2 linked regions of the Danio rerio genome follow. The protein of the gene in region 2 interacts with the protein of the main gene of each other region in a pairwise test. Links are inferred from orthologs where the notes say so. Each region holds a gene or a part of one and is shown on either strand. Other genes may lie near its edges. The genes, in order: egfl6 and sh3gl2a.

Region 1 (17,214 bases), on a different chromosome or scaffold from region 2:
TTTATGATATCCCTACTATGAATTTACCACCCTGATGTCAAAACTACATCAAGATAATATCGAACATTGGCATCAAAAATCAATTAGATGACAGTCATTTCATGTATGTTTTAGGTATTGTTTTGAAGCTAATGTTTGATCTCAGTTTGTTTTAGCTTCGACATTAAGGAAATCAACAAAAAAATAAATCAACATATGTCATTAGGCATATTTGTTGTGTTTTATTGATGTTTATGATGTTGTTTTGATGACAAGGGCTGCCTTTTAGTCTAATTTTATTTATGTCCTTTACTCGCTAGCTTTGCTGAGCACTGCATGTATATAAAAGACATGTATTTTTACACAAGACATACATGTGATTTGCGTATATTGCCATATATCATATTTCTCTATGGATGGTGTGAAGTGTTCATTGGCTATTTTATATATATAAACCTGTGCTTGCTCTCAGCGACACACTAAACCCTCAGCGCTGTCTTAAAGAAGCTCCTGCTGAAGTGTGATGGCCATGAATAGTACGAGGTGTAATTATAGCAGAAATGTGCTGCGGGAGATTTTATTGGTTCCTGTAAGAGTGTCTGTTAAACACTTAAAGAGCCGTAAAGCAACTGCAGTTAACCCCAAAGGGTCAAAGGTCACCGTAAGGACTACGTTTACCTTCTAATTATGCCTCATTTTTCACCTGAAACAACCTGAGATCTATTTCTCTGTTCACACACACAATTAAAATGCAGACAGACAAACACACACTCACACACAAGCACATGCATGGACAGCCATGCATACACAAACACGCACACATACAAACACATGACACAAAAAGTGAAGCATGGTCTACATCTTAATATTAGTATTTATTTATATTTCATCTAAATGCATTACTATAAATCCCCCATCGGTGTGTTAAACTGAGGGTGTCCTTATTGTTTCCCCCACAGACAGCGGCGGCAGATCTCCGTCATGAGTGGGCTGGGTGTGTGTCGATACGGCAGCCGGTTGGAGTGCTGCTACGGCTGGAAGAAAAACACTAAAGGACAATGTGAAGGTGATTTAGCAGATAAAAGCAGATCTACAATAAGATTGCTATTACATTTAGTGAATCTCCTTTTTCTGTGTGTGTGTATATATATATATATTCAGATTCCCTTAAATTTTTGACTCTTTGTTATATTGCCGCTGTTTGCTAATTATTTTAGTTAATTATTTTGTACACACAGCAGCCCATACTGACAGAAAAACACTGAATTGTTGACAAATGAAAGTTTAAATCAAGCACAGTTAACCCAGATAGCATATGAATGTGGGCCACTTTAGGCAGTCATGCAGCACTGGTGGTATTCATTCAGTGAGCCTGAACCCACAAAGCAAAATTTCTCTGGCCCAGCTCTGGCCCACACAATCAGGTTTTGCTTGGCCCACATGCTGCAGTGAATTACGGTACATGACTGGACCAAATCTGGCTTCCAGACAAGGGCCAAACACGGACCATATCTGGGCCAAGTCTCAGCCAAGTTAATAACTCATAACTGGGCCTGAACTGGGCCAGATAGGTTGGTGTGTCACGGTTGCAATGAAATTGATAAACCTATGGAGTGATGCGCTTTAGGCACACTATGGGCACGCTTTTTCTCAAAGTGACCTGATTGGTAGATTTTTTTTTTTTCTTTACTCAAAAATTATTTTGGTGTATTTTAAATGTGGGTCAAGACTAGCCAAACTCACATGGCCCACTTATCAAATTTTTAAATCTGCGCCAAATACTACGTTTTTCATCTGGCCCAAATCTTGTGTGCCGCCTTAAAGACGGTGCCACCTCTGCCAAACCCGGGCCATGTTTGGCCCACATGCTGTATGTCAGTGGTGGATGAATGCCTGCTGTGCCAGCTTTTTGCCAAATCTGGGCCAGAATTCTTTGCTACTAGGGAAGTGGCCCCCATGTACAATAGCAAATAAATGGGCCATTTAAGGCAACAATTTGGCACTTATGGCATAATGTAATCTGAATCTAAGCCATCATTGCCAATCAACTGCCATCATTCCAATCAGCATGTGGTCCAGTCCAGATGTAAGTGTCTGTTGTGGGCCGGATCTGGGACAGAAAAAAAGCAAACTGTGGCCCAGAATAGGGTCAGATCTGGTTCATTTGGTTGAATTCTGGCCAATACGTGGTACTGCTTTGGCTTATTGGTGGGCCAGATCTGACAAACAGGAACAGACCGCTCTAGAGCCATCATTTCATTCAGTATGTGGTCCAGATGTAAGTGTATGGTGTGGGCCAGATCTGGGACAGAATAAAAGCAAACTGTGGCCCAGAATAGGGTCAGTTCTGATTAATTTGGTTAAATTCTGGCTGATATGAGGTATTGATATGGCTTGATTGTGGCCCAGATCTGGCAAACAGGAGCGGACCGCCCAAGTGCCATTATTCCATGCGGTATGTGGCCCGGATGTAAGTGTCTGGTGCGGGCCGGATCTGGGCCAGAACAAAAGCAAACTGTGGCCCAGAATAGGGTCAGTTCAGGTTCATTTGGTTGAATTCTGGCCAATATGTGGTACTGCTTTGGCTTATTGGTGGCCCAGATCTGACAAACAGGAGCGGACCAGCCTAGAGCCATCATTCTATTCAGTATGTGGTCCAGATGTAAGTGTATGACGTGGGCCGGATCTGGACCAGAACAAAAGCAAACTGTGGCCCAGAATAGGGTCAGTTCTGGTTCATTTGGTTGAAATCTGGCCAATACAAGGTACTGCTTTGGCTTATTGGTGGCCCAGATCTGACAAACAGGAGCGGACCGCTCTAGTGCCATCATTCCATGCGGTATGTGGCCCGGATGTAAGTGTCTGGTGCGGGCCGGATCAGGGACAGAATAAAAGCAAACTGTGGCCCAGAATAGGGTCAGTTCAGGTTCATTTGGCTGAATTCTGGCCAATATGTGGTACTGCTTTGGCTTATTGGTGGCCCAGATCTGACAAACAGGAGCAGACTGCTCTAGATCCATCATTCTATTAAGTATGTGGTCCAGATGTAAGTGTCTGGTGTGGGCCGGATCTGGGACAGAATAAAAGCAAACTGTGGCCCAGAATAGGGTCAGTTCTGGTTAATTTGGTTAAATTCTGGCTGATATGAGGTATTGGTATGGCTTGATTGTGGCACAGATCTGGCAAAAAGGAGCGGATCGCCCAAGTGCCACCATTCCATGTAGTTTGTGGGCCGGATGTAAGTGTCTGGTGCGGGCTGGATTTGAGCCACATGAATTTTGCTAGCTGGGAACCTACACTACATACTACTTTTCATTTCGTTTTACACTTGAACAACTAAATAAATGCTGAAGTCTGTTTAACTGATTGCATTTTAATTACAGTACAACATCGACGCTTTGAAAGAAACCTTATCAAATTGAAGATATTCACATTATCCGTTCACCAGAAGTTTATCACTAGGGGAAAAACACTAGCTGTGAATATACCCTATTTTCATTCAAAACATGGAAACACTGGGCTTTACTTTCCATCCACAAACTTTTCTGATACACATTGCTTGTTCTGCGGTCTGAGCTCTGAGGGGGATTGTGGGACATGAGCTGCCGTTGTTTTCCAGACGTGTGTGGTTTTGTGAACAGATTTGACCTCCGCTGTTTTCTTCATTAATATTTCGGCATGTTTTTCCAGCTCAGTGTGATCTGGGCTGCAAACACGGCGAGTGTGTCGGCCCCAACAAATGCAAGTGTTTTCCTGGATACACTGGAAAGACCTGCAGCCAAGGTTTGTGTGTCTCAACTGTTTATTTATTTACAATATACGCTATTAGACACTGCACTGTAAAACATATGGGTTGATGAACAGATTCTGTATTTAGTGATGCACAAGTGTTTATTTAGGAGGTGTCACAGTGCTCATTCAGTAAAGGCACAGCTAAACAGATGTGTTTCAGTCTGGATGTGAATGTGCCTAATGTTGGAGCACATCTGATCATTTATGGAAGCTGACTCCAGTGGCAATATTAGCACAGTAACATCCTATTCACAAGGGGCTTCAGCATCAACGCTTGACAGAGGGCGTGTCTGAAGTTGGGGCTGATGCGATCGTCATAGCAGCGTCAGCCAATGAAATTTGTCAGCAATAGGCCACTGTCTAATCTGGTGTATTTGCATAAAGCGATCTGATTGGCTGAAGCTTCCGTCGGCGCTTGAAAAGTTAAGCTAGTCCCAACTTCTGCAGCGAGCAACGCCACTGAAGCGGCGCTGATGGATCCACAATGCAGTTCGGCAACGCCTGACGTCACCCATTTAAAGAGAATGGAAAGCGTTGACGCTGACGCCCCGTGTGAATGGTAAGGTCTGACTTTGCTTAGACAAAAGTGTCATCACTGAACAGAAATAATGTCCAGTATAGAATATAAAGTCCTGCTGCAGTGGAGACAGAATGAATATTGTGTCTGACTCCATCATGAGCTTGGAGGACTGCATCCATACATCTCTGACAGACTCACATCACTGATTAATAAAGTCATCTGGAATGGCAAAGATAACGGCAAAGATGGCAAAGATAGATGAATGGCTCAACCTTCATCTTACCCCAGACATGCTCAATAATGTTCATGTCTGGTGACTGGGTTGGCCAATCCTAAAGTACATGGTCTTCTTTGCTTTCAGGAGCTTTGATTAAAAAATTGACTAAGCCGGATAGAAAATGAATGAATGAATGAATGAACGAACGTACAAACGAACGAACGAATGAATAAATGAATGAACGAACGAATGAATGAATGAATACTATGGAAGTCAATGGCTACCAGTTTCCAACATTCTTCAAAATATCTTTTTTTCCATGTTCAACAAAAGAATCAGGTTTGTGAATGCTCAAAAACTTTGGGTGATCTATCATTTTAATGCCTTTTAATCTGTTCTGTATGTCTATAAACACTGTAAAAATATTTGTAAATGATCAAAAATCAAAATGATACTTTGAATAAAAACATGAATCACGAAACACGGAAAACTGATCATTTACAAATATTTTTTACAGTGTTTATGGACATACAGGACAGGTTAAAAGGCATTAAAGTGGTAGTTCACCCAATTTATTTTTTTATTTACTCACCATTCACAAACCTGATTCTTTCTTCTGTTGAACACGGGAGAAGATATTTTGAAGAATGTTGCAAACTGGTAGCCATTGACTTCCATAGTATTCATTCATTTATTTTCTATCCGGCTTAGTCGCTTTTTTTAATCAGGGGTCACCACAGCGGAATGAACCACCAACTATTCCAGCATATGTTTTACGCAGCGGATGCCCTTCCAGCTGCAACCCATCACTGGGAAACACCCATACACACTCATTCACTATGCACAAATTAGATTACCCAATTCCTCTATTGCGCATGTGTTTGGATGTGGGGGAAACCAGAGCACCCGAAAGAAACCCACACCAACACGGGGAGAACATGCAAACTCCACACAGAAATGCCAACTGACCCAGCTGAGACTCGAACCAGCAACCTTCTTGCTGTGAGCCGACAGCACTACCTACTGCGCCACAGTGCAGCCGACATTTACTACCATAGTAATAATTCATTCATTTTCTTTTCGGCTTAGTCCCTTTATTAATCCAGCGTCGCCACAGCGGAATGAACCACCAACTTATCCAGGATATGTTTTGCGCAGCGGATGCCCTTCCAGCTGCAACCTGGTACTGGGAAACACCCAGACACACTCATTCACACACTCATACACTACGGCCAATTTAGTTAATCAATTCCCCTATAGCGCATGTGTTTGGGCTGTGGGGGAAACCGGAGCACCCAGAGGAAACCCACACCAACACGGGGAGAACATGCAAACTCCACACAGAAATGACAACTGACCAAGCAGGCACTCGAACCAGCAACCTTCTTGCTGTGCGGCCAAAGTGCTAACCACTAAGCTACCTTGCTGCCATCAAATAAAAAGCTATTATACAGACATAGTTAACCTGCATTATAGCGATGTCTATGAGTACATGCTTATTAAAGTGTTTGTGTGTTGTGATTTGAGAAACGGGATGTAATGATAATGTGTAATAATAAAGAAACGCTACGCTCTGTTAAACATGGAGAGATCATTTTTGCAAAATGTCTGTGACTGAAATGTACATTTGTTAATTGTGTATTTTAAATGTTATAAAACACGGAAGGATTTTAAAATACACTCTCTCTCACTCTCTCTCTCCTTCAGATCTGAATGAGTGTGGTCTGAAGCCTCGTCCCTGTGAGCATCGCTGTATGAACACATTCGGCAGCTATATGTGCTACTGCTTAAACGGCTACATGCTAATGCCTGATGGATCCTGTGCAAGTGAGTGACCACGATATATCCAGAGAAATGTTCACTTATTCATTCATTTTCGGTTTAGTCCCTTTATTAATCCGGGGTCGCCACAGCAGGATGAACCTCCAACTTATCCAGCACGTTTTTTACGAGCGGATGCCCTTTCAGCCGCAACCCATCTCTGGGAAACAGAGGAATGTTTACATACACAATATATCGTTTCAGCATGGATATTACAATGTGTGCATCCGCAATAGTCACATCTCAGGATCTGCAATGTTGAATAGCCATTATAGTTGACCAGGAGCCACAGTTCAGAAACATGAGATCTGTAAAAACATGAGATAAAGGAGCAAATCTTTGTCATTTGCAAGTGTTTTTAAGGCCTGTGACTGCATACTGAGAGAGTTTAAAGCATCCAGGCACAAGGAATAATGATATTTGTAACTTTAATCTAAAATATTTTATCAACTTATTCACACAACGAAGATTATGCAGTGCTATTTCCAACCCAGGCTCATTCTGAAAACGTAGTCCCATGGACATATCTGGAGGCCGCGAAATACGTCCCGGGAGGTATGTATTTGTGCAGTTTTGTTGCGCGAATTTGGGGCCGCTGTGTGTGCTTTTTCACATCTCCAACATCTCTCGCGAGTGCCGTTCATGCCCGCGCTGTTCTCGCATAAACCCATCGTAAGCCGCTGTCAGGTGACTGTCTGTCCGACTGACTAAATGATTGACTGGGCGACAGGCCAATCGGCCGACCCACCCTCCTCCTCCTTCTTCCCTAAACCCAACCGGTTTTACCGATTGACCCGCCCGCCCGATTGCTTCCCTAAACCCAAGCAACGATTTACAAAAGCCGTCCAGAAAAAGAAAAGCCCTCGTCTGATTTTTACCACGTTTTCGGATTTCACCACATTCTCACCCTGTTATGAACTTGTTCACTTTATCTTTTGGATTCTGTCCAAAAAAGTCTTTCTTCGAAATCTTACCTGATTTCTGGAACCGCTCTTCCCTGGACTCGAACCCGGTCATCGTTGTTAGCTCCTCTCTACATCTCAAGTCCACCGACGTACACGACGAGCTAACTTGACAAACTTGTAGAGGTGGGAAAGCCTTCCACACGGAGGTAAGCAGTCAGCCGGCGAGCGCGAAAAGGACACATACCGCCCCGTAGTGTTTGCTTAATCCAGGGGTGACCAATCTCAGTCCTGGAGGGCCGGTGTCCCTGCAGGGTTTAGCTCCAACTTGCCTCAACACACCTGCCTGGATGTTTCAAGTATACCTAATAAGACCTTGATTAGTTTGGTGACCACTGGCCTAATCAAATGAAATGCAGCCATACATACCTCCGGCTACATAAATCACGGCCTCCAGAAACGTCCGCGGGACTACTTTTTCAGAATGAGCTTGGGTTGGTTGTGTCACATCTGTTTATTTAAATTCTGCACCTGAATTCTTACCATATAGAGCTATTTAGGCCATGTGTTGAAATTGTATTGCATTGTTTTGAATTGAAACTGTACAGCCCTAATGAGCTGTTACACTGTGTGTGTCTGTCTGTCTGTCTGTCTATCTGTCTGTCTGTCTGTCTGTCTGTCTGTCTGTCTGTCTGTCTGTCTGCCTGTCTGTCTGTCATTGCAGACTCCAGGACGTGCTCTCTGGCTCACTGTCAGTACGGCTGTGAGGAGGTGCAGTCTGAGGTTCGCTGTCTCTGTCCATCCCCTGGCCTTCAGCTCGGGTCTGATGGAAAGACCTGCGAGGGTGAGAACTGAAATGAAAACATTCATTCATTCATTCATTGATCTCCTTCAGCTTAGTCCAAGGGTGTCCAAACTCGGTCCTGAAGGTCCGGTGTCCTTTATCTTTTAGCTTCAACCCCAATTAAACACACCTGAACCAGCTAATCAAGCTCTTTCTAGGTATACTAGAAACTTCCAGGGAGGTGTGTTGAAGGAGGTTGGAGCTAAACTATGCAGGACACGGGCCCTCCTGGACCGAGTTTGGACACCCCTAGCTTAGTCCCTTTATTCATCAGGGCCCAGTTTTTCAAAAGTAATCCACTAGGATTTTGGATAAGGGATTGGATCAAATCTTGAAAATGGGTTTTTCAAAAGAAAAAACGGATTACGTAATCGGATTAGATCACATAATCCAATCTTTGTTTTGATCCGGATCAAACCTTTAGTTTGGGTTTTTCAGACCTTTTTTGTAGGATTTGGATCACTTTGATCCAAAAAACCTGGATTAAACTGATCCCATCAGAAGGGTGGATTTAGCGTGGATTTCATGCCCAAAATGTGATGAAAACTTCAAAAAATTATTAAATAAAACTACATTTGGATCATGCAGTATCTTACGAGATATACAATTTATTCATAAGGTTTTAATTTTATTTGTTCATCTGTCAGGCTATAGTGATTATAGGCTTTAACGTATTCAGCCTTTCAGTATAGGCCTACAGCAAAGTAGAAAGAGTTTGGCCTCATAAAATAATCCCCCAAACAGCTGTCAAAATTTACCAAAAACAATACATTTTATTATGTTACTAATTGATATATAGTCCAAGGAATATATATATATATATATATATATATATATATATATATATATATATATATATATATATATATATATATATATATATACATATATATAGATACACACACACACACACATATTCATCACAATGGAAAATATTTTTGTGTTTAGAATATTTATTAGTGATGCATGCAATGATTAGAGAATAACAAAAAAAATGCAAAGAATGGCAATGCCTGATTTTTGAAATCACTTTGAACAATTGCAAAAAGAGACTGAAAGGGCAGAAGTTCAGCTTTATCTGGCAGAGGAACAACTGACTCTGACCAAACTGCAGCAAACCAAGACCACACTTGAGATCTGCCTCCTAAAGAATACGCTCAGACAAGCTGCTCCCTCCACATCAGATGAGGAAGTCTGACATTATTGTGGAGGTTTCAACATTGTCTTTTTTTATTCAATACATCTATATTTGAAACTTATTATAAATATCCTCAATGTACAGTGTTGTAGGTCTCAGATGAGCGGACTGCTGGAAGAGGATGGAGTGGGGTTTTTCTTGCTTTTATTATTTATTATTATAATTATTTTATTGTTTATAAAATGTTCTTAGTTTTCATTTCAAATAAAAATAAAGTTATATTGACCCCACACTGGCTATTCTACTTGTTGCTCTTTACATAGGCCTATCTATCCATCTACATTGTGATTGAGCACTGGTAATCCAGATTTAGTGGTCCTAAAAAGTTCCTATCCGGATCAGATTGATCCAATCCAATGTTGCTTTGAAAAACTGGCTCAAAAAGTAAACTGGATTACGTGATCACGAATCGCAAAAACAGGATTACTAAATCCGTATCAATTTTATCCGGATTAAACCTTTTAAAAAAAAACGGGCCCAGAGGCACAGTGGAATGAGCGCACATATGAGCGCAAATGCATTTGCTATTTAAACAGCGTGGCGGAAAACATCAAAACGACTCTTGCGCCAAGCTGAAACTAGCAAACAACTATTGCGTTGTGCCTTGCGCCACATTGTGCCAAGTGTATGATAGGGCACTCTTTCACACACACACTAATACACTACGGCCAATTTAGTTAATCAATTTCCCTATGGCACATGTGTTTGGACTGTGGGGGAAACCGGAGCACCAGGAGGAAACCCATGGCAACACTGGGAGAACATGCAAACTCCACACAGAATCGCCAACTTACCCAGCTGAAACTCGAATCAGCAACCTTCTTGCTGTGAGGCCACAGTGCAAACCACTGAGCCACAGTGCCTCCCAGCTAGTAAACAAGAACAAAAAAAACTCTGAACTCATTGGTCATATCAAGCTCTGTGATCTAATAACAGTGAATGTTCTCCATGCACTCTTCTTGTTGTCCTCTTTCTCTTTCGCAGACATTGATGAATGTGCGACTGGGAAAAACCAGTGTCCGTTTAACCGGCAGTGCACAAACACATTCGGCAGCTACTACTGCAAGTGTCAGCCAGGATACGACCTCAAATACATCAATGGAAAATACGACTGCGTTGGTGAGAAGAATGCAACTGTGTGTACAACCTGCTGTAATGACCGACTATACACTATTATAAAAACAACTGTCCACCTTAGATTGAGCTAGTACGAGTTATTAAAGATGATGTGTGCTTTTGTCAAAGAAAGTCATCATAAAAATGGCCAAATTACTGGTAAAGAAGTAAACTACCCTAAAAATATCCATTAATGAAGTAATGAGTCTTGCATTTAGTGTTGATGCTAAAGAATCAGTGTAAAAAACATTCAATTCAAGTTTATTTGTATAACGCTTTTCACAATTAGTCTTCCGTGTCCCTGTGCTATTTAAAATGTATTTGTTTTATTTTGGGACTCTTCTAGAATAGTTTTATGTGTATTCAAGATCAAAATCACTTTAATTTAGAAGTGTACAGTCTCTGAAATGTTTGGTTCAACGATCTGGTTGCTCTAAACCCGCCTTCTTAGGAAGCATACTCTGCTCTGATTGGTCAGGTGGTACTTGTCTACTCTGATTGATCAGATGGCACCAGTTTACTCTGATTGCTTAGATGAGACTAGTCTGCTCTGATTGGTCAGCTGACAATCAGCTGTTCTGATTTGGTCAGATATCTTAAGTATCTTCTGATTGGTCAGATATCACAAGTTTCCTCTGATTGGTCAGATGAGACTAGTCTGTTCTGATTAGCCAGATGACACTAGGCTGTTCTGATTAGTCAGATATCCCAAGTCTACTCTGATTGGTAAGATGAGACTAGCCTGCTCTGATTGGTCAGATGACACTAGTTTGCTATGATTGGTCAGATGGCACTAGTCAACTTTAATTGCTCAGATAAAACTCTGATCTGATTGGCCAGATAGCACTATTCTGTTCTAATTGGCCAGATGACACTAAGCTGTTTTGATTGGTCAGATGAGACTAATCTATTCTGATTGGTCAGATGACAATAGTCTTTTCTAATTGGTCAGATATTACAAGTCTACTCTGATTATTCAGATGGCAGTAGTCAACTCTGATTGGTCAGATGACACGAGTCTGTTCTGATTGGTCAGATAGCACAAGTATTTTCTGAATGGTCAGATGACAATAGTCAGCTCTGATTGGTCAGATGACAATAGTTTGCTCTGATTGGTCAGATGACAATAATCTGCTCTGATTGGTCAGATGACATTATTCTGCTCTGATTGGGCAGATGACAGTAGTCTTTTCTAATTGGTCAGATATTACAAGTCTACTCTGATTGGTCAGATGGTACAAGTCTGCTCTGACTGGCCAGATGAGACTAGTGTGCTCTGATTGGTCAGATGGTACTAGTCAACACTGATTGGTCAGATGAGACGAGTCTGTTCGTATTCGTCAGATAGCACAAATATTTTCTGATTGGTCAGATGACAATAGTCTGCTCTAATTGGTCAGATGACAATAGTCTGCTCTAATTGGGCAGATGACACTAGTTTTTCTAATTAGTCAGATGACATTATTCTGCTCTGATTGGTCAGATGACAGTAGTCTTTTCTAATTGGTCAGATATTACAAGTCTACTCTGATTGGTCAGATGGCACAAGTCTGCTCTGACTGGCCAGATGAGACTAGTGTGCTCTGATTGGTCAGATGGCACTAGTCAACTCTGATTGGTCAGATGAGACGAGTCTGTTCTGATTGGTCAGATAGCACAAGTATTTTCTGATTGGTCAGATGACAATAGTCTGCTCTGATTGGTCAGATGACAATAGTTTGCTCTGATTGGTCAGATGACAATAGTCTGCTCTAATTGGGCAGATGACACTAGTTTTTCTAATTAGTCAGATGACACTATTCTGCTCTGATTGGTCGGATGACAGTAGTCTTTTCTAATTGGTCAGATATTACAAGTCTACTCTGATTGGTCAGATAGCACAAGTATTTTCTGAATGGTCAGATGACAATAGTCTGTTCTGATTGGTCAGATGACAATAGTTTGCTCTGATTGGTCAGATGACAATAGTCTGCTCTGATTGGGCAGATGACACTAGTTTTTCTAATTAGTCAGATGACATTATTCTGCTCTGATTGGTCAGATGACAGTAGTCTTTTCTAATTGGTCAGATATTACAAGTCTACTCTGATTGGTCAGATGGCACAAGTCTGCTCTGACTGGCCAGATGAGACTAGTGTGCTCTGATTGGTCAGATGGCACTAGTCAACTCTGATTGGTCAGATGAGACGAGTCTGTTCTTATTGGTCAGATAGCACAAGTATTTTCTGATTGGTCAGATGACAATAGTCTGCTCTGATTGGTCAGATGACAATAGTTTGCTCTGATTGGTCAGATGACAATAGTCTGCTCTGATTGGGCAGATGACACTAGTTTTTCTAATTAGTCAGATGACATTATTCTGCTATGATTGGTCAGATGACAGTAGTCTTTTCTAATTGGTCAGATATTACAAGTCTACTCTGATTGGTCAGATGGCACAAGTCTGCTCTGACTGGCCAGATGAGACTAGTGTGCTCTGATCTGTCAGATGGCACTAGTCAACTCTGATTGGTCAGATGAGACGAGTCTGCTCTAATTGGTCAGATAGCACAAGTATTTTCTGAATGGTCAGATGACAATAGTCTGCTCTGATTGGTCAGATGACAATAGTTTGCTCTGATTGGTCAGATGACAATAGTCTGCTCTGATTGGTCAGATGACAATAGTCTGCTCTGATTGGGCAGATGACAGTAGTTGAATTGAATTGAATTGAATTGAATTGAATTGAATTGAATTGAATTGAATCTGAATTGAATTGAATTGAATCTGAATTGAATTGAATTGAGTCTGTTCTGATTGGTCAGATAGCACAAGTATTTTCTGAATGGTCAGATGACATTAGTTTTTCTAATTAGTCAGATGACATTATTCTGCTCTGATTGGTCAGATGACAGTAGTCTTTTCTAATTGGTCAGATATTACAAGTCAACTCTGATTGGTCAGATGAGACGAGTCTGTTCTGATTGGTCAGATAGCACAAGTATTTTCTGAATAGTCAGATGACACTAGTTTTTCTAATTAGTCAGATGACATTATTCTGCTCTGATTGGTCAGATGACAGTAGTCTTTTCTATATAGATATCTATATCTATATTGATGCAGAGTTATCAAATTATAGAGATATCACAAGTCTGCTAGATAGATTTTATATTTCAGTTTGTTGTGATTGGCTGAAACCCAACCCTCATGTAAATCTCAGCTCCTCTTGAACACTTATAAACACAGTGATGCATCTGTGATGACAGCTTTGGCTTTACTGTATCAGGTCCAGCACTAGTTCTCCAGTGTTTTATTAGTGCATGCAGAGTTTGTTCAGTTGATGTGAAATGCAATAATGCGAGTGTGTGTGTTTGCAGATGTAAATGAGTGCACGTCGAACACACACAAGTGCAGTCATCACGCTGAATGCATCAACACTCTTGGGTCCTACAAGTGTAAATGCAAGCAGGGCTTCCGTGGCAGCGGATTCGATTGTTCAGGTGAGAAATGACAGCATTAATGAAACAGCGAAAATTAAACTACACTTTTAAAATATCCATAAATGAGCAGTTTTCCATATTTTGTGATTTATGTTTTAATTTTTAATTTTTTCCTCCTTTATTTATGCTTTTGAATTGCATCATGGGACCCAACACTGGGTTACAACAACCCAGCATTTCGTGTGTGTTTAATTAAATAAATACAGCATCGCTGAGCATTTTTTAAACATGCTGAAACAAACAGTACAATTTCCAAACTTGTGTGGATGTTTTAGGAGAAATGTTGTAGATATAATTTGTGAACCGAATGCTTTGTGTTTGTGTAGTCAAGCCATTTTATCACAGATCCTGGGACAGCAGTAAAGGAAACACAGATGTGCTTGTGAACGGTGAGAAAGACGCAGTTTAACGGCTGAATGAGCTGATGGAAATACATCTGATATTGTAAAACATCAGCATTAGATGAACATCAGCTCCTGCGAGAGGGGTCTGGCTGCAGACCTAGTGCAGTGCAATCTGAGCTGCATCCAATGCTTTTTAATGCGCTCACCTAACCCCGCCCCTAACCCTACCCGTCACAGTGACGTCACTCACTCCATTGAGTGCATTGTGTCTGACATTGCATCGCTAAGTGATGCAATCTCAGCTTGCACCATAAAGGCTGCATCCAGATACTATTGGCTCCTGCGCTCTGCTGGATGCTTTGCAGATACATTTAGAAACACTCTAATAAGCTTTGCAGATGTTAATGCATTATCTGGACCATGCCGCTGGGAAAACAAATGAAAGATGAAAGTTGTCATGCAGCTTGGTTATAATGATTGTGAATGGCTTGTCATGCAGTGCACATGCAGTCATGGCAGATGTAAAGCATGCCTGATTAATGCAATAATGCTGATATTGTGCATTTTTCACAATGGCTTTAAAGCAGTCAATATTTAACCTGATGTATTTTTTAAATTAGCTTTATTTTTAGATTGTCCGTTCAATAATATACATATATATATATATATATATATATATATATATATATATATATATATATATATATATATATATATATATATATATATATATATATATATATATATATATATATATTGTTGACTTTTAAATTGTCATTACATTTACTTAAAAAAAATCGTAATTAGCTGATTTTTATTTCAGGTATAGTTTTGGTCATGTTTAGTCATGATAATGTACTTTAAAAATCCAGATAGATTTTTTATTAGCTATGTATTTATCAGATGTGTTGTTACTTATTTTTTATCATACATTTGGTTTATTTTGTATGTGCAATTAATAGATATTATTACATTTAAACATGTTATTATTATTTTTATTAGCAGTAGTCGTAGTTAACATTTAGTTTAATACATGCAATTAATATCCATTATTAAATTTAAACATGTTATAATAATAATAATAATAATAATAATTATTATTATTATTATTATTATTATTATTATTATTATTATTATCATACATTTGGTTTATTTTGTATGTGCAGTTAATATGTTACGCAGCGAATGCCCTTCCAGCTGAAACCTATCACTGGGAAACATCCATACACACTATTAATATCTATTATTAAATTTAAGTATGTTATTATTATTATTATCATTATTATTATTATTATTATTATTATTATATTAGTAGTAATAGTAGTAGTGGTATTAAGTATTTAATTTATTTTGTGCAATTAATACCTATTATTAAATTTAAATATGTTATTATTATTATTATTATTATTATTATTATTATTATTATTATTATTATTATTATTATTATTATTATTATCATACATTTGGTTTATTTTGTATGTGCAGTTATTATGTTACGCAGTGAATGCCCTTCCAGCTGAAACCTCTCACTGGGAAACATCCATACACACTATTAATATCTATTATTAAATTTAAATATGTTATTATCATTATTAATTATTATTATTATTATTATTATTATTATTATTATTATTATTATTATTTGTATTATATTAGTAGTAATAGTAGTAGTGGTATTAAGCATTTAGTTTATTTTGTGCAATTAATATCTATTATAAAATTTAAATATGTTATTATTATTATTATTATTATTATTATTATTATACATTTGGTTTATTCTGTATATGAAATTACTATCTATAATTATATTCAAATATATAATTTATAATTTTTTTGTCGGCTTAGCCCCTTTATTAATCTGGGGTCGCCACAGTGGGATGAACCGCCAACTTATCCAGCATATGTTTTATGCAGCGGATGCCCTTCCAGCTGCAACCCATTACTGGGAAACACCCATACACAATCATTCTACACTACGGACAATTTAGCCTACCCAATTCACCTGGACTGCATGAACATGCAAACTCCACACAGAAACGCCAACTGATCCAGCTGAGGCTCAAAACAGCCACCTTCTTGCTTTGAGGCGACAGCACTACCTAGAGCTCATTGCGTCGCCTAATATTACATTTAAATATGTTAGTATTATTATTATATTAGTAGTAGTAGTAGTAATAGTAGTAGTAAGCAGTTAGTTTATTGTGTGCAATAAATAGCTATTATTAAATTTAAATATGTTATTATTATACATTTGGTTTATTCTGTATATAAAATTACTATCTACAGTTATATTTAACTATATATTATTTTACACTCCATTTTAATTTTAGTTATATTTTTACTATTTATATTTTTAAATATCATTAAATATTTTTTTACTATATAAATGCTATTCAAATAAGCATTTTTGTCTTTTTGTATATTGAATGCATGACTCAGCATTAACAAACAAGATTTCCACTGACAGATTTCTGTTTGATTCTGCAGCGATTCCCGATTTTCCGTCCAAAACCCGGATTTTGGGTAAATTTGAGAACAGCATCCCAGAGCCTGTGCTGACTGAATCTCCTCGACAGCATCTGCAACCCTTCGATTATGATGGAGAGGTTTACATCGGCGCTCCACAGGAAACACCAGTGTTTCCTGAGGAAGAAGAAGTGGAAGAGGAAGAGGAAGAGGACACAGAGAACCAGCTGGAGGATGAAGAGCTGACCAGCAGAGGAGACGTGTTTTGTGAGTGACTTCAAAAATACTCTTTACATTCATAAACAGCTGAAGTGAGATTTCCTATGTGCTGTTTAAGAGAGCAGGGATTACAGTAATTCCTATTATATTTTTCCCCTGAAGAAAGTCTTATTTCATTAAGTTTGGCTATTTTTTAATTATTTAAATATTAATTTAGTGGTTATCATTTGCCACCTTAAGATAAAATTATAATTCAAATATTTCCAACATTATGCTTCAGAGAGCAAGAAATCTTTCACAGTAATTCCTATAATATT
Region 2 (16,623 bases):
TTAGTTCTTTGCTTATTACACACACAGCTACATGCAGCAGCACACAAACATACATGAAGCTAAGTGTGTAAATAGTGCACAGACTTTTTCTGAACAAATCTACTCTAGAGAAGATTTTCTTCTTTATATTTCCAAATTCCACTATGCATATAATGAACCTATTATGCCTTAAGAGCAACTGGATTTTAAATGGAAAGGGAGGTGGAATTTGATAATTTATATTTATTGCATGTCAAATATAATGCAAAATTTACTTATTGTTTAATGAATTGTTGTGCACAATTGCTAGGGACCAAAAAAAATAAAAAATAAAAATAATAATAATACTGATGTGAAATTGCAATCATTCTAAATTTGTGTTACTTTTTACCCATAGAAAATTATATTCATAGATTATTGTTGTGGAATACTGGGAAAAGATTCTGTGCACTGTTTACCTTCAGACCTTATCTAAATTCCTGCACAAATCCTGATTGACTGGAGACATGACACAGGTTTGGACATTTGCTCATTAAACAGGCTCCAAGCCCACTTTGCGAGCAGTGGAGCAGACAGGTACACTTTAGCAGACACAATATTCAGTGAGGTCTCTCAGTCTTCCACCCACACACACATTCTTACTGCCACTTCTGGCCTTCACCCTTAGCTTGCTGTTTTGCTCTCTCCCAATTTAACTCTTGCTTTGCACTCTTTATGGTTGTCAGATAGAAGTATTTAGCTTATTTATTCAGACAGAGAATAGAGTACATCTTGTTATAGGGGACAATTTTGCTAAATCAGAAATGCATTTCCAATTTTTATTCTAATTCTTAAAAAACAATTGAAATCTAAAAGGATCTATATTAAAAGATTTATTTAGAAATATGGCTTTCAAACGAACTATTGTTGGCGATGCGCATTCGTGACGCTCTAACAGTCATGTTAGCACACCTGAGCTTGTTGCAGTCTGACCTGTCTTACCGCCTCATTTGTCATCTCCAATCACAAGCTCTTTTGAGGGGAGCTGAAAGACAAGGAATTATCAGCCCTTGCCTGGTGATGAGAGCTCAGCCTGCTGCTCAAAAGAGAAAGTATGTGAGAACACCAGCAAGTTAAACATGTAAGAACACAGGCTAGCACACTCTGCCAATCCTCGGCATCGTCCAGAGACTGCATCAAATATTTCTGACATTTAGAAAAAGTCTTAATTGCAGTCATTAGAGATGCAATCTGATGACCTGTTTAACTCTTTGGAAGTTTTTTGAAGTGTCCAGAAGAGATTTTCCTGCGGGCACCTTGATATCAAAACGACATCAAAAATAATGCAAAAAGAAAAAAAAAGGCAAATCGGTTTGATGTCAAAATGCCTGATGTTTATTTGACTTACATTGATGACCTTTTGACCACCAAATAACAAAAGTATTATATAAGAAAATTAAATTACAAATTACAAATTTAAACTGAATTTTGTATCCCCACAATGCATGTAGAACTTCCTTGATGTCAAAACGACATCAAAAATGACGTAACATTGGCATCAGAAAACTCATAACTGACCTGTAATTGATTTTTTACGTGTGTTTTGACAAAAGGCTATTTTGCTATCAAGATAGGAAAAAAAAGTGCTATTTTGACATCAAGGTAGTCAATTAACATGAAACCAATTAGCATTTCTGACATGTTTGCTGATGTGTTTTAGACGCGGTAACACTTTATAGTAACTACACACTATAAATCATTTATTAAGCATTAGCAAATAGTGAATTCATTATCCATTAAGCATTAACTTTACATTAATAAACGTTAGTAAGCAGTTTATAACTGCAGCTACAAATGCTCTATTCTTGACTTATAACCACATTTATAATGTGCTTAATAATTGTATTTTCATACTTAGAAAATGATTTATTTTTCATTACTAAATTAAGTATTGCATTATTAACTAAACTGCTTCAGTTTCCCCCACAGTCCAAAGACATGCGCTATAGGTGAATTGGGTAGGCTAAATTGTTTGTAGTGTATGAATGTGAATGAGTGTATATGGATGTTTTCCAGAGATGGGTTGCAGCTGGAATGGCATCCGCTGCGTAAAACATATGCTCGATAAGTTGGCGGTTCATTCCACTGCTGTGACTCCAAATTACTAAAGGAACTAAGCCGAAAAGAAAATGAATGAATGAATGAATGAATGAATGAATGAATGAATGAATGAATGAATGAATGAATGAATGAACAGCTTATAACGAATAAGACTTCACTACAAAGTGTTACCAAAATAATTTATGGAATTATTATGGTGTTATAATATTATAATAGTATTAGGTTTTAAAGTGAAACTGCCTGAGGACATATAAAAAAAATAAATAAAAAAACTGCTTCCTTCCTTCCTCATGATAGACTAAGTAATGCACACTATAGGTCAGTAGTACTGCACTGACCATATCCATACAGCAAAACACAGAAACATGAAAGCTGAATATTTTTTTTCTGCAAACCATACAAGACCTAAATGTTTTGGCATTGATCATCCTGTCAGGGTTTATTTCGGGATAGTGATTGACTGTACATCATCCCTTAGACAAACAAACACACAGAGATACATTAGAGGCCGAATACACAACATAAAATTCAAGCAAATGTATAAATATGTACTTTCAGTCACAGTGTGTGCAACGCGCACTGTTAGTCTTCGGTGTGTTTGCCGACACGCAGTGAGTCTGGGAACAGGGTAAATGTTGACACTGTGGCGCGTGAGAGCGAGTGGGGTGGAGCAGAGCTTGGGTGGATGTGATATGCCTCGCTGACTGTAAGTACAGTTGTAGGATGAAGTGACACATCGCTGGCGTGCCAGTGTCTGGGCGGAACACAAACACGCAGGTTGAGGGGTAGAGAAGCATCGGCTCAAAGCTTTTGCTCACTGCTATTAATTTAGGAAAATCCAGGGGTTCCAAAAATGGAATCAAACCAAAAAGTTTTTGTTTATGGGTTCGTTCATTTTTTATGCATATGGGGGAACTTTTTTCTTGTTGAGATTAAAAAAAAATGCAAAATGTGATTCAAACTAAATACTGCTACTAAAACAAAAACTTTTGAACTAATAGACCACTGTATATTTTTTTTCTCTCCAATTTCTATTAAATGGAAAGAATACTTTTTAAACACATTTCTAAACATAATATTTTTTTTAATAACTAGTTTCTAATAGGCGACTCAGTGGCGCAGTGAGTAGCACGTTTGCCTCACAGCAAGAAGGTCGCTGGTTCGATTCTCGACTCAGTTGGTGTTTCTGTGTGGAGTTTGCATGTTCTCCCTGCGTTCGCGTGGGTTTTCTCCGGGTGCTCTGGTTTCCCCCAAAGACATTCGGTACAGGTGAATTGGGTAGGCTAAATTGTCCGTAGTGTGTGGATGTTTCCCAGAGATGGGTTGCGACTGGAAGGGCATCCGCAGCGTAAAAACTTGCTGGATAAGTTGGCGGTTCATTCCGCTGTGGCGACCCCAGATTAATAAAGGGACTAAGCCGACAAGAAAATGAATGAATGAATAATTTCTAATAACTGATTTGTTTTTTTGTATTTGTTTTATCTTTGCCATGATTACAGTATATACATAATATGTCATTAGATATTTTTCAAAAGACTAATCAGCTTAAAGTGTAATTGAAAGGCTTAACTATATGTTAATTGGTAGGTTTCGGGTAATTAGGCAAATCTAAAAGGATAGTTATTTTCTGTAGACAATCTAAAAAATATATATTGCTTAAGAATTGGTATTTTTTAAGTTATTGCTAATAACATTGGCCTTAAAATGGTTTTAAAAACTATTTGAAATGGCTTTTATTCTACCTAAAAAAAAACAAACAAGACTTTCTCCAGAAGAAAAAACAATACAGGAAATACTGTGAAAAAATTCCTTGCTTTGTTAAACACGTTTGGGAAACATTTGAAAAAGAAAAATAATTTTGACTTTAACTGTATGTTATATTTGCTGCGCACAAACAGAAAATGCATAGTTTAGTTTCAAACAGGAGAAGTGAAATGTTACAATTCAGACATGCTGAGATAGGTGAAATGTTTCCACAGGGGTAAAATGTAGCATTATAAAAGCTGAATTAAATATGCTCTAGTATCAACAACTGAACACTATTTGTGTGTGCTGGTTTCATGAGCCCTGGTTAGGTCAAACCCAAACATTTTTGTCATTTTAGTCTTTCTCTTCCAAGATCTATAGATCAGGGGTGGCCAAACTTAGTCATAGAGGTCTGTTGTCTTGAGAGTTTAGCTCTAACTTGCTAAAAATCTGCGAGAAAGTTTTTAGACCGTACCTCCAGGACTGAGTTTGGACACCCCTGATCTATGTAGACAACAACAATATAAAACAATTATATTTGCTTGGGGTTGGTGGTAAAATATTTCACTGATGAACTTAACAAAATCTGTTGTTATAACTGATAGAGTTTTGTAGCCAAGAATTTGCTTTTGTAGCTCATACATCATTGCTGCTATGGCTACTAGACAAGTAAAAGTGAGAACCCATGTAATTGTAATATTTATATCACTCTATAAATACAATTGTAGGACACATGGAAAAATACCCTGTTTACAATTTACAATTTATGGTTATCTGTTTGATTAAAACATTTTTTAAATATGTTAAAATATGTTTCCTCCAAAGCATGTTTATATTTGTTTTGTTTATTTATTTTTTTGGCTACACAATACTTTTTTTGTTTGTTTGTTTTAAGAAGAATTTGGAAGTCACAATTTTTAAACAATACTGAAGTTTAATCACAACAAATGAACACTTTCTCACCAAAAGTGCAGCTCTAAGTTACATTTTTTTATTTGAAAGAAATGTTATTAAAATTTGATAAAATAAAACAAATATGTACATTTGAAAAAAGTTATTCAATAACTAATAATACAGTACAAATCCAAATTTTACTAACATATTTAATACTGTTCAGATGTATTAACATTTTTATCTTTTGCAGTAGTGTGTCAGTAGGAAATATCAGTTTACATCATTTTGCTCTTGAATGCAACAATCCAGTGAGATTTTTGTTTGCAGAAAATGTCTGACAGCAGTCCAATAAATTGTTTAAAAATGCGATGCTTTTTCTTTTTTTTTTTTTTAAATGCATCCATTTATATAAATTAGTTTGTATTAACTAAATGAAATCAATATTTGGTGTAACCATCATTTGTGTTTAAATTGTTTTCCAGTCAGACTGGATGAGACGGACTCAGTGTGGAGCACTATTTGCTGTCAAACTCCCTCTGCAATCAAAAACCTCTCTGGATTATTACAATTAATAGAAAAAAAATTGGAAATGTAAAGTGATATTTCCTGCTGATACACTACACTAAAAGAGTTTGCACAGTACTGTGAATACGCACTATTACTTTATAATGTATTTATTTAATAATATTATATATTTTTTGTCTTAGCATGCTGAAATTTCGAAAAAGAAAGCTTGACGTGAAGCATACAGGAGATACTAAATTTGTTTTAGGAGATTAAACAAACATTTCACACTATCCATTAAGGACTGAACGATGTTTGTTTTAAAAGTATTGCCACTGTAATGTTCAAAAATGCCAATGTTTAAAAAACCTTTACCTTAATGGTTTATTTAAACTTGCACGCTTATTACAAATATTTTGATTATGTTTGGTCTGAACATAACTTTTGATTACTGGTAGTTAAATGACTTTTTTTTTCCTTCCAGTAAGAAACTCATCATTAATTCAAACTGCTCTTTCAGAATGAAATATAGCATTTCTTAGTAAGTACAATTACTTTTCAAGTGTCATTTTGATCTCTGATCTCTAGCTTTCAAACAAACTTTACTGATAATATTTAAAAATGATTAGATGTTTCCAAGGTCCAATTTGTATAATATTAGTTGTTTTGACTGATATGTACATATAGTTAAAGGCAAAATAATTAGCCTTGTGAAACATTTACCAAGTGATGTTTACAACAAGGAAATTTTCTTCTGGAAAAAAGCCGTATTTCTTTTAGTTGAGCTGGAATTAAAGCAATAATAACAACAACAACAACAATAATAAAAACCTTCACCTAATTACAGTTGAGCTTTTTAATAGCAAGCTGTATATTCGCTTGGTCATCATGGCAAAGACAAAATAAATTAGTTATTAGAAATTAGTTAATAAAACTGGGAAACAGCACCTGGGAAATAGTTTCATTCATTTTCTTTTCGGCTTAGTCCCTTTATTAATCTAGGGTCGCCACAGCAGAATGAACCGCCAACAAATGATGCCCTTAAAGCCACAACCCATCACTGGGTAATTTTGATGGGTTTCATGGGTAAATAAAAAACCTCCATACACTCATTCACACACTACGGTCAATTTTAGCATACTCAATTCACCTGTACCACATGTCTTTAGACTGTAGGGGAAGCCGGACCCAGCCAAGGCTCAAACCAAACCAAAAAATAAATTTTTTTTTTGTTTGTTTTATTTCGGATAGAATAAAAGCAGTTATTATTTAAAAAAAAAAACATTTTTGGGACAAAATTATTAGCCCCTTTAAGCTATTTTTTTTAACGATAATTTACAGGGCAAACCATCGTTATACAATAACTTGCCTAATTACCCTAACCTGCCTAGTTAACCTAATTAGCCTAGTTAAACATTTAACATTTAGCTGTATAGAAGTGTCTTGAAAAATATGAAGTAAAATGTTATTTACTGTCATCATGGCAAAGATAAAATAAATCAGTTTTTAGAAAGAAGTTTTTAAAACTATTAAGCTTAGAAATGTGCTGAAACAATCTTCCCTCCATTAAATAGAAATTGGGGAAAAAAATAAACAGGGGCACTAATAATTCTGACTTCAACTGTGTGTGTGTGTGTGTGTATATAATATATATATATATATATATATATATATATATATATATATATATATATATATATATATATATATATATATATACATACATATATAAATATAAATATATTGTATACAATATAAAACGGGTCCAAATGTATAATATTATACCCACACATAAACTGTGCCTGATATGCACAGATATTTCAGCTTCACACAGAATATTCAGTTTGTGTTGTGGCAGCATCCCCTACTGGTTATGAAACAAAATACACACACTCCACATGCATCATTCAACGGTTGTATTTATTGTAGTTGCACATTTTTTTTTTCGTTCTCAGCACAAGCTTCATTCAGATGAGCCACTGAAAAATTCATGCTAAAGAGGAGTTGATATGTAGCGCTTCACGAATAAACACTCCCCCAGCACGTTTCACTCCAGTGCCTGATTTCTATCTAATGATAAATCTTTAACACTGATCCAAAAATAACACATGGTACTATAGTTATATGACTATACACAAACAGGAAATAAAACGCAAGAATGTCTGTACAGACCTCATTGAGGAGAATGACACAATTCAGAAAAGATTGGAATGTCCTGTCAATACAATCTATGCTTATATATATATATAAAGGAAAATTTAATAATACATTAAACCTTTTTAAGAATGTATATTGATCTGTATGTGAATTTTTAGACCATATTACATCATTATATTTATATATCATTTACAATCGGAAATTTATTCATATTTAACAAGGGGATGATGTGTGTAACTCTTGCAATGCTGAAATACTTTCTCTTATTTGTTGATCTGACTGTAAACACTATTGGCTCAATGGCATATGGTGGAGTGTGGAAAATGGTCGTCATTTCTTTTACATTTGTATTTATTTGCGCAAAAATTACACACTTCATTACTAAAGCAAGAAAAGAAAAACATAAAATAAATATAAGCACAGTTTCATGGGTTCAGAAATCACCACACTCAGGCATTATTATATTCATATATATGTACACACGCATACAATGTTTCATAAAATGGTTCTTGGGTTGTGTTTAGGTGACCAGCTTAACATCTATGGAATGTGATATGGAAAGCTGAAAAAGGCCCATGCTATTTATAGGCCATACAGAATCTTACGTGACTGAAAATACACTGTAACACAACAAATAAATGAGTCACAGAACTTTCCTCATCTTTGTTTTTTTTTTTTTTTTTTTCTTTGTTGATAAATATTTATCTATTTAAATAGTCAAATCTAACACCACTTAAAGGCTAAAACCAGTTGCAGGACATTAAACGAACAGTGGAACATTTCACTCTATGACCATTAAAGGTGTGAACGGATATTGGTTGTGTAGTTATTGCAATTTCAAAGTAATGAAGAAAGGAAACAACTCTCAATGTTTGTCTGCCATCATCATTCACTTATACATTACGCTAGATAATACCAAAATAAATGAGAGACATTTTATTTTACACATTTTCTTTTTTCAAACGGTGTGATAAAGAGACCAATCATGATTTGCTGTTGCGAATAGGAACAGGCAAAAAAGAATAAAACACACACAACGTCTGAACATACAGGAGGCATAGCAGCAGGCAATGCAGAGGTCTGATCAACCTCAAAAAAGAGAAGATAAAATACATTGAATAAATTAATAATACAACAAAATAGTGGCATTCCCAGTCAGGAACAGTATTTTGTGAAAGGGCACTCATAACTGCTTATTTTCTATGCGCAAATAACCATAACAGAGCATTTTGTGCTGTTTGTTTTGGTGACTTTTGCTCTCGTTGAAGAACTGGTTTGATTGGTCAGGTCACGGTTAGGTGCATGCAGGAAACTTAATGAGGCAAAGCTACCAGGATATCCACGTAGTTGACGGGGAAGAAGCCAGATTGCCCGTTCACCATTCCTTCATACCAGTTGTCGTCAATCTTGCTGGTTAGGGTGATGATGTCACCTTCCTTGAAGCCAAGCTCACCCTCATTTTCTGGGTCAAAATCATAAAGTGCCCGACAGCAAGGCTGGTCCATTGGAGCTGAAACAAACGAGATACATTCTTTAGCATAAACACACACACACACACACAAAAAAAACCCTCAGGTTTATAAATTCAAATTATTAATAGTATTACTTTACCTGGTGACCGAGAAGGACCACTGTGGCCAATACTCCCATTGTGATTCTCACTGAAATCCAAAGAGGTGCGAGGTTTGGGCACATACTCTCTTTTTGGCTTACAAGATGCCTCTCTTATTCTGTGAAAAGAAGAGAAGGAGAAGTTCTCATAATTTAGTGAAACACATTTAATTATTTATTTAATAATATTATAATTCTAGAATTGGGAGAACATTTTAAAACAATTTAAACATTTGCATGAAAAATATTTTTTGTATCATTGTAAATTCAATAAATCAAAATACATTTTGTGTCTGTCCCTACATTTTGGCTAACTCTGTTACATCGTTTATAAAAAGGCAGAACAATCTGTAAAGCACTGATAAAGAAAGCATGTGACTTGCTCCAAGTGATTTCAATTACTCTGGCAGGAAACGCTTGAAGGCACTAAGGCACAACATTTTTTTTTCTGTCATCAATTACAAAATGAAATACAAAATGTAATAGACCAATAGTAGATTAACTATTTGTCAAGTCTGTTGTGAAATTTCAGTCAGTTGTCCATTCACCTTTTGAACAAAAACAAAAATGATGACAACACATGAAATAATAGATTAGACATAATGCAATGTCTGGTTGGAGGTTTGAATCGTGAACTAAAGCACAAAATGGTGGAAAATGTCAACTTTGTTTTTGTTAAACTATGTTAGTGGATTACATCATTTAACAAGTTAAACAGTGATTAGTAACTGAATCAAAATTTCTTGCATTTAAGAATTTTGGATTAATAAAAGGATTTAGTTAACTTTAATATATACAGTTGAAGTCAGAATTATTAGCCCCCCTGAATTATTAGACCCCTGTTTATTTTTTTCCCCAATTTCTGTTTAATGGAGAGAAATGTTTTCCAACACATTTCTAAACATAATAGTTATAATTACTCATTTTCTAATAACTGATTTATTTTATATTTGCCATGATGACAGTAAATAATATTTTACTAGATATTTTTCAAGACACTTCTGTACAGCTTAAAGTGACATTTTAAGACTTAACTAGGTTAATTAGGTTAACTAGGAAGGTTAGGGTAATTATTTAAGGTTATTGTATAACGATGGTTTGTTCTGTAGACTATGGACTACCAAGTCACTAGCTGCATTACTATCAATCTGATTGAATTATTACTGATTACGGATGAGAAGCCAGCCGTGATCCATCATATCACCTGCTCCTCTCAAAATTAGTTTATAAAACTTAAAAAAAAAAAAACATTAAAACAAATATTTTAGGATAATGATATCTGAGAACTTCTCAGAACTCTACATGGTGTATAAACAGATTTCTGTAAGTTTAAAGCAATGTGTTTGATACTTGCACTATTTGTCTTAGGTAAAATCACTGTGCATTGAGTAGGGATGTAACGGTATTGTAAATACCGTCATACCGCAATATTATTTTTTTTCAATATTACCGAAGTCGCATGACTCGGTAAAACTATAGGTCTTCTGAGAAAATTTGCTCAGGCGAATGAAGCGAACGGGAGGTAGCGAAAACTACAATTGCCATCAGCCCATGCTTGACCATCATCCCTTGCGGTCTGTTGTCGCTACAGATCCAGTAATGCGGAAATGGAGTGTGCTGCTAGAAGCGGGGATGAAAAGAGCTGGAAAACTCTAAAGCAGGTCGCACACCAGAAGCGGCGCTCGGCGGCGCGCCGCGCAGTGCCACGCAGCGCCATGTATTTTAGAATTCTAAACATAGGTTTCTATCAGGATACACACACCGGCGCCGCAAGTCGGCGGCGCCCGGCGACGGCTCAGGACGCAGTTCATTTTTCAGCCGCGCCACAGAGCGCCATCTGATTAGATTCATGTTAAATATCATTCGAATGAGCGCGTCTGGTGTGTGATACTTATAAACTGTCATGTACATCTGAAAACGGAAGCGGGGCTGCAGACATTCGCCTCTCTGATTGGGGCTTTTCCTGAATATTAAGTAGCCTAACACGCACAGTTCAGTCCTGCATTATCTCCGTGTAAGTTCACACTTCGCAAGTTTGATCAAGGCTGCAGTCTCTTCGTCTCAGTTTGATATGGAAAAGCAGATTATACCGAGGACACGGGTAAATCTTCAAAGGGAACAGTGTACTTTATAACTTCATTCACATCACCCTGGCTTCGTTGTTTCACTTTCTCAACAATAAAATGTAAACATGATTTAAGGAACTGCCTATTTTCATTTTAATATTAGCAACTTAGACAGCAGACATGTTGAGGCGTCGTGCTGCATAAGATGAGCGTCATCTTCACTGTGTGCATATTTATAACAAAACGGAGCCGATAACAACACTTCCTCCTTTCAATTTCAGTGAAAATACGAAACACAGCCTCTCTTTTGCTGAGTATCAGTTTTAAGAATCGATAATGGCCATTTTAAAAGTATAACATACAATAAGTTTATACATTATAGGAAATAAAGGCAAGTGATCAGTCAATATACAGAATGGACGAGCTTCCATTAATCATTAACTTATCTTTGCGCTCAGCCAAAACACGTTACCTGAGAACAAGTAATAGATTCCAATGCCCAAAGTCAGGGAATATGTCGTTAGATAAAGACAACAAGATGAATGAAATATCACGTTTAATAAATATAGTGAGATTAGATCCAGCGGGAGATGCTTGATGAGAAGTCCGACTAGCAGAGCTCTCATCTGGGTAGATGGGCTGAGTGTGGTTAAATGTTGAATGTGATGAGTTTTCAACAATACTAAATTGAAACTTTATTTTTTTACATGGTTTAATAATTTTTTGTTTTTAAAATTGAAGTTCCTGTTTCAAAGCTTACAGATAGATGGCTAATTTGTATGTCATTGACACTTTTGGCACTTTTTTGGAGTATTTTCACAAGTTTTGTTTTTTCCTGTAAATGATTCAATAAATACCGTACCGTGACATTCATACCGAGGTATTACCGTACCGTGAAATTCTGATACCGTTACATCCCTAGCATTGAGACAATCCCATTTTCTTTTTCTTCCATGTGTTCAAAATATTAAAAACATTCTTTCATTGACTGTGATTCATTGTGACTACTTTCATTTTAATTTAGGAATTTATAAAGAAAATAATAATAATTAAACTAAAAAGTAACTTGCATTACATTTTCAAAGTATTAACTCAAATATTATCACTTTTTATTTTGTTACTTTACTCGTTACTTAGAAAAGTAATATTATAATGTAACTCACATGACCCCAACACTGGTTTTAAATGGTCTGAGCTTTGGGTAAATTTCACTAGGAATATCTTCATTTGAGTGTTAAAGGTAATATTTCCATTTTACTGTAAGCGCTTTCATATTTATTTTGTAAATGTCACTAAAATACATAAAAAAATTACTGATTAAAGCTAAATGCAAAGTAAGATTTTGGGTATTTTACAGTCAAATCATTCCCTGTTGCTATACAATAGGAACTACTTTTAACTTCACTCAACATTCTCAAAATGTGACACTGATGTGATGCAACACAGCCGCAAGAGTCAAGTGCAGGCGGGGTAAAAAAAACTCCTCCCGTGTCATACAAAAATGCCAGGATTCTCAGATTTTCTCAGCAAAAGAGGTTGATGTGTGATTGATAATTCCGTTACCCAATGTTAAAAAAATACATTTGATTACATTTTCCAAAGTGACTTCGAGATTTTATAAAACAAAGATAAAGGTGAATGTTAGAGCATTAGCAGTCAGTTGCTGAATATATAATTTATGAGATAAGCTGCTTGAACTAAATGAAGCAAGGTGAGGGCATCATTCCCTCTGGGTTTTCAGACAAAGATTAGGGATAGTCTTAGACTATACTGCTTGTTTTAGAGGTCTAAACTGAAAATAATGCAGACCAGTAATATGTTTTGGAGTCATATTCATGAAAGTTGCTTACATAGACTTATTTAAAAGTCTGTAAAACTAAACCATTGCTGTTTGTAGAGCTGCTTTATTGTTAAATTGCATCTTGGTATTGAGCTAAAAAGAAGAAAAATCAACTGCAGCAAAGTAACAACACTTTCCCCTTCGAATGGGGAACTTCAATGCTATGTGGAAACTTCCACTATGAAGTTTTTGTCAGAAACCAATCATCTGAAAGAGTAAAAAAAAAAATAAATAAATAAAAAATCAGGCCAATGAAATGCCAGTTGGCGGCGTCAGCCTGCACAGCTGGCGTTAATGACAATCAGTCATAATATAAAGACGCGGCTAGTGCAATGCTGGACATCCTTTTTTTGCTTTCAGAGCATTTCACAAGCTTCTGAGAGAGTCTTTGAGGTTATCTCCATCCTGTGTCTACAGGAGAGATCGAGAAGCAGCTCCTCCCGGTCCAGAGCGTGTATACGCAGTGGCAGACAGTCGAGCTGGGTTTCTCTCCCTTGCCTGGCGTTCTTTGGGTCCGGTCCTCCAAGAGTGGTTTGTGTATAGGAAAAAAGCTTTTCTAAAAGAGCAGCACGGTTTTGCAGCACGTCTTTTTCAAGACATCGCTCCGACCGTGCGTTTCTGGATGCGGTGGTTTCCTATCCCCGGATGATGGGCAAAGCATAGCGTTTCATGTCTGGGGGTCCAGCATGTTAATGTAGTGCTCGCGGGCAGTGCATGCCGTCACTGTGATGTCATGTATGTTGCACAGTTAAGATCTTGCAAAAGAGAGGCCCACCCCAGTTTCCCCCCACACTGCGGTTGGCAGATCTGAGGATTACAGTGGGAGTAAATTCGCCTCCTTCAGGCTGCAGACCTCTCGCTCCTCCACGCGCTCCATCCAAGCTTCAGGTGAAGAGAAGTGCCCTGTCTTCAGATGGTCGCTCTCTCACTTGATGACACTGAGGATCATATGTCCATCGCTGCATCTGAGGATGGGCTGTCATTGTCTGATGAGGATGCGAACCCGCTCGCTCCCTCCCTCCGGGTTGGAGAGCACAGCGTTGGTATCTAAAAAGCAGATATGATGGCCATGCTTTCCCAAGCTGCTTAGGCCGTTGGCCTGGTGATGGTTTATCTTCCAGCCCTGCGGCCGGACCGACTAGATGGGTGTTATGTGGAGGATATAAGGAGGAAAGACCTTCAAAGCTTTCCGTCCCTTTCTTCCCGGAAATGCACAGTAAGCTCACGCAGTTTTGAGGGCACTTTTTTTCTGGCCGATCTGCATGCGCTTCCATCCTCACCATCCCTGGAGGGTGGGTTGTCAATATCTGATGAGGATTTGAGTCCGCTTCTCCTTCCGGGTTGATGAGCGCGGTGTCAAATCTAGATGCAGACTTTGTAGCCGTGCTTCCCCAGGCTGTTTCGGCTGTGGCTTTGGAGATGGTTTATTCCCCAGCCCCGCGGCCAGACCGACTAGAGGGGTGTGGAAACCCTTCTTCCGGGATGCACACAGTAGGCTTACACAATGTGCTGCGTGCGCCTTCACCCTCACCTTGCACACTATTGCCACCTACCAGTGCAACCAAGCGCAGGCGCTGGCCCAGCTGCGCGAGGATGGTTGCGACCCAGGACAGGGGATGAGTGCCGCACCCTGGGAAGGACGATGGTCACATTAATGGCCAGGAACGCCACCTCAGGCTAAACCTGGTGATGTGTGTGATGTTGACAAAGTTTGCTCTCTTAACTCACCCATATCCCAGGCTGGCCTGTTTGGTGACACCGTCGGGGATCTCGACCAGGAATTCACACCGGTGAAGGAGCAGTCAGAAGCGATGGGTATATAATCTATCGGCGGGATCGTAAGACTACTCCCTCCCACCGAGCCATCCACATCCACTGCTTTTCGCTGAGGGCGCTCGCCTATAGCTTTTTTCTCAACCACCCCGCCTATGCCTCAGGCCAAGCGGCTCGCAGGCAACCAGCCCCCCAGCCCCAAGTTTGGTAAATGAACCGCGAAGCATCCCTGAGACAGGCCATCTGGAGAGGAGGGAATTTGCTCTTTCCCCGCTGGAGGGCGGGGCTCTTCACTTAACGGACAAAAAATAAAATAAAAAAAAGCCATCAAATCCTCAAAGAAAAAGCATTTTTCCCCTTCCATGGATGTAACAGCCCGAACACTGCCAGTCTGGGACTTATGCAGGATCGGTGCATTTTGCCAATGGCTCACAGAGGGCGAGAGAACGGTCTCCTTTCTCTCCCTCTTTCAACCCCTCCATCCGGAATTTGAGTGCGAGACGAGAGCAAGTCTCTCTCTATCCCATGGGACCCCTGTGCTAGGCGAGCCCACCCACTCCACGCTGCCTCACCGTGGACCAGCCCATTGCAATGGCTCATCTGTACGATCAGACTCGGCTCTGCGATACAGTTGGCGAAACATACGCATCTGAAGTCATACGCAGCTGAAGTCACTGCCTGCTGTTCACATTCTCGGCGAGCTCAACCGTGCAGCCGATGGGCTCTCATGGCAGCTCCTTGCCCCGGGAGAATGTCGACTCCACCCCGAGTCTGTTCAGCTGATATGAGCACTGGCCCACAGCTGGCGATTTTTTACTGTTTCAGATGATTGGTTTCTGACGAAAACCCCATAGTGGAAGTTTCCACATAGCACTTCCGTTCCCCCCTGTATAAGAAATATGCATAATAGAGCGAGCAGGTATTGACTATTCATTTTTTTGAATATTATTCATTCAGGCGGTGTGGTGAGGCAGTGGGTAGCAATTTCGCCTCACAGCAAGAATGTCGCTGTTCGAGCCTCGGCTGTGTTAGTTGGCATTTCTGTGTGGAGTTTGCATGTTCTCTCAGTGTTTGCGTGGGTTTCCTCAGAGTGCTCTGGTGTCCCCCACAAGTCCAAACACATGCACTATAAGTAAATTGGGTAAACTAAACTGTCCATAGTGTATGTGTGTGAATGAGAGTGTATGGGTGTTTCCCAGTGATGGGTTGCAGCTGAAAGGGCATCCGCTGCGTGAAACAAATGCTGGATAAGTTGGTGGTTCATTCCGCTGTGGCAACCACAGATTAATAAAGAGACTAAGCCAAAAAGAAAATAAATTATTCTTTCATTCGTGCATTCATTTTCCTTTAGCATAGTCCCTTTATTTATCAGGGGTTGCCACAGTGGATTGAACCTCCAACTTATCCAGCATATGCTTTATGTAGCGAATGCCCTCCCAGCTGGAACCCAGCACTGGAAAACTACTGAATATTATTTTAATTATATTCAGAAGACTTGGAATGAGTGCTAATTGGCTTCAAGAGTTTTGAGGGGCACAAACACAAAACTGACTGCTAGCAAATGATCATAAATCATTTTTTGCTCAAGTGGATAATTCACCCAAAATGTGGAAATTCCATCATTATTTACTCCCCCTTTACTTGTTCCAAATCTTAAAAACGTTTCTTATTTCTCTTACAGCATGCTTCTGGAAAGTTCTTTTTTTGTCAGCAGAAGAAAGAAAGAAAGTTCTAAAGGGTTGGAACAACTTGATGGTTGGCATGGGCCGGTTTCTGATGGCATGATAACCTTGGATAAAATTATCACAGTTTTTTACAGTTGTGATTAGTGCTCTAAAATTTGATGTTTTTTAATATCTCTGCAAAAATTTTTACTTTTCCACCCATTGAACCCAATACATTTATTTGAAGAAACAATAAACAAGTCAAGCTATATAAAGTAAATCATTGTCT

What was found.
Region 1: the proteins of sh3gl2a (region 2) and egfl6 interact in a two-hybrid assay, tested with the Homo sapiens proteins (2 studies listed by BioGRID and IntAct). The link is inferred for Danio rerio from reciprocal best matches to the Homo sapiens genes SH3GL2 and EGFL6.

Annotation. Positions count from the first base shown.
Region 1 is NC_133184.1:56,886,996-56,904,209, forward strand, and holds part of egfl6 (epidermal growth factor-like protein 6 isoform 1 precursor), read left to right. Parts: intron 1-933; exon of another isoform or gene 934-938; coding exon 939-1,045; intron 1,046-3,669; coding exon 3,670-3,762; intron 3,763-6,215; coding exon 6,216-6,335; intron 6,336-7,955; coding exon 7,956-8,075; exon of another isoform or gene 8,076-8,350; intron 8,351-9,754; exon of another isoform or gene 9,755-9,965; coding exon of another isoform or gene 9,966-10,257; coding exon 10,258-10,392; intron 10,393-13,745; coding exon 13,746-13,868; intron 13,869-14,194; coding exon 14,195-14,257; intron 14,258-16,699; coding exon 16,700-16,945; intron 16,946-17,214.
Region 2 is NC_133176.1:28,371,064-28,387,686, forward strand, and holds the end of sh3gl2a (SH3 domain containing GRB2 like 2a, endophilin A1), read right to left. Parts: intron 9,111-16,623; coding exon 8,992-9,110; intron 8,891-8,991; coding exon 8,694-8,890; 3' UTR 8,066-8,693; downstream 1-8,065. UniProt on the Homo sapiens protein: Implicated in synaptic vesicle endocytosis. May recruit other proteins to membranes with high curvature. Required for BDNF-dependent dendrite outgrowth.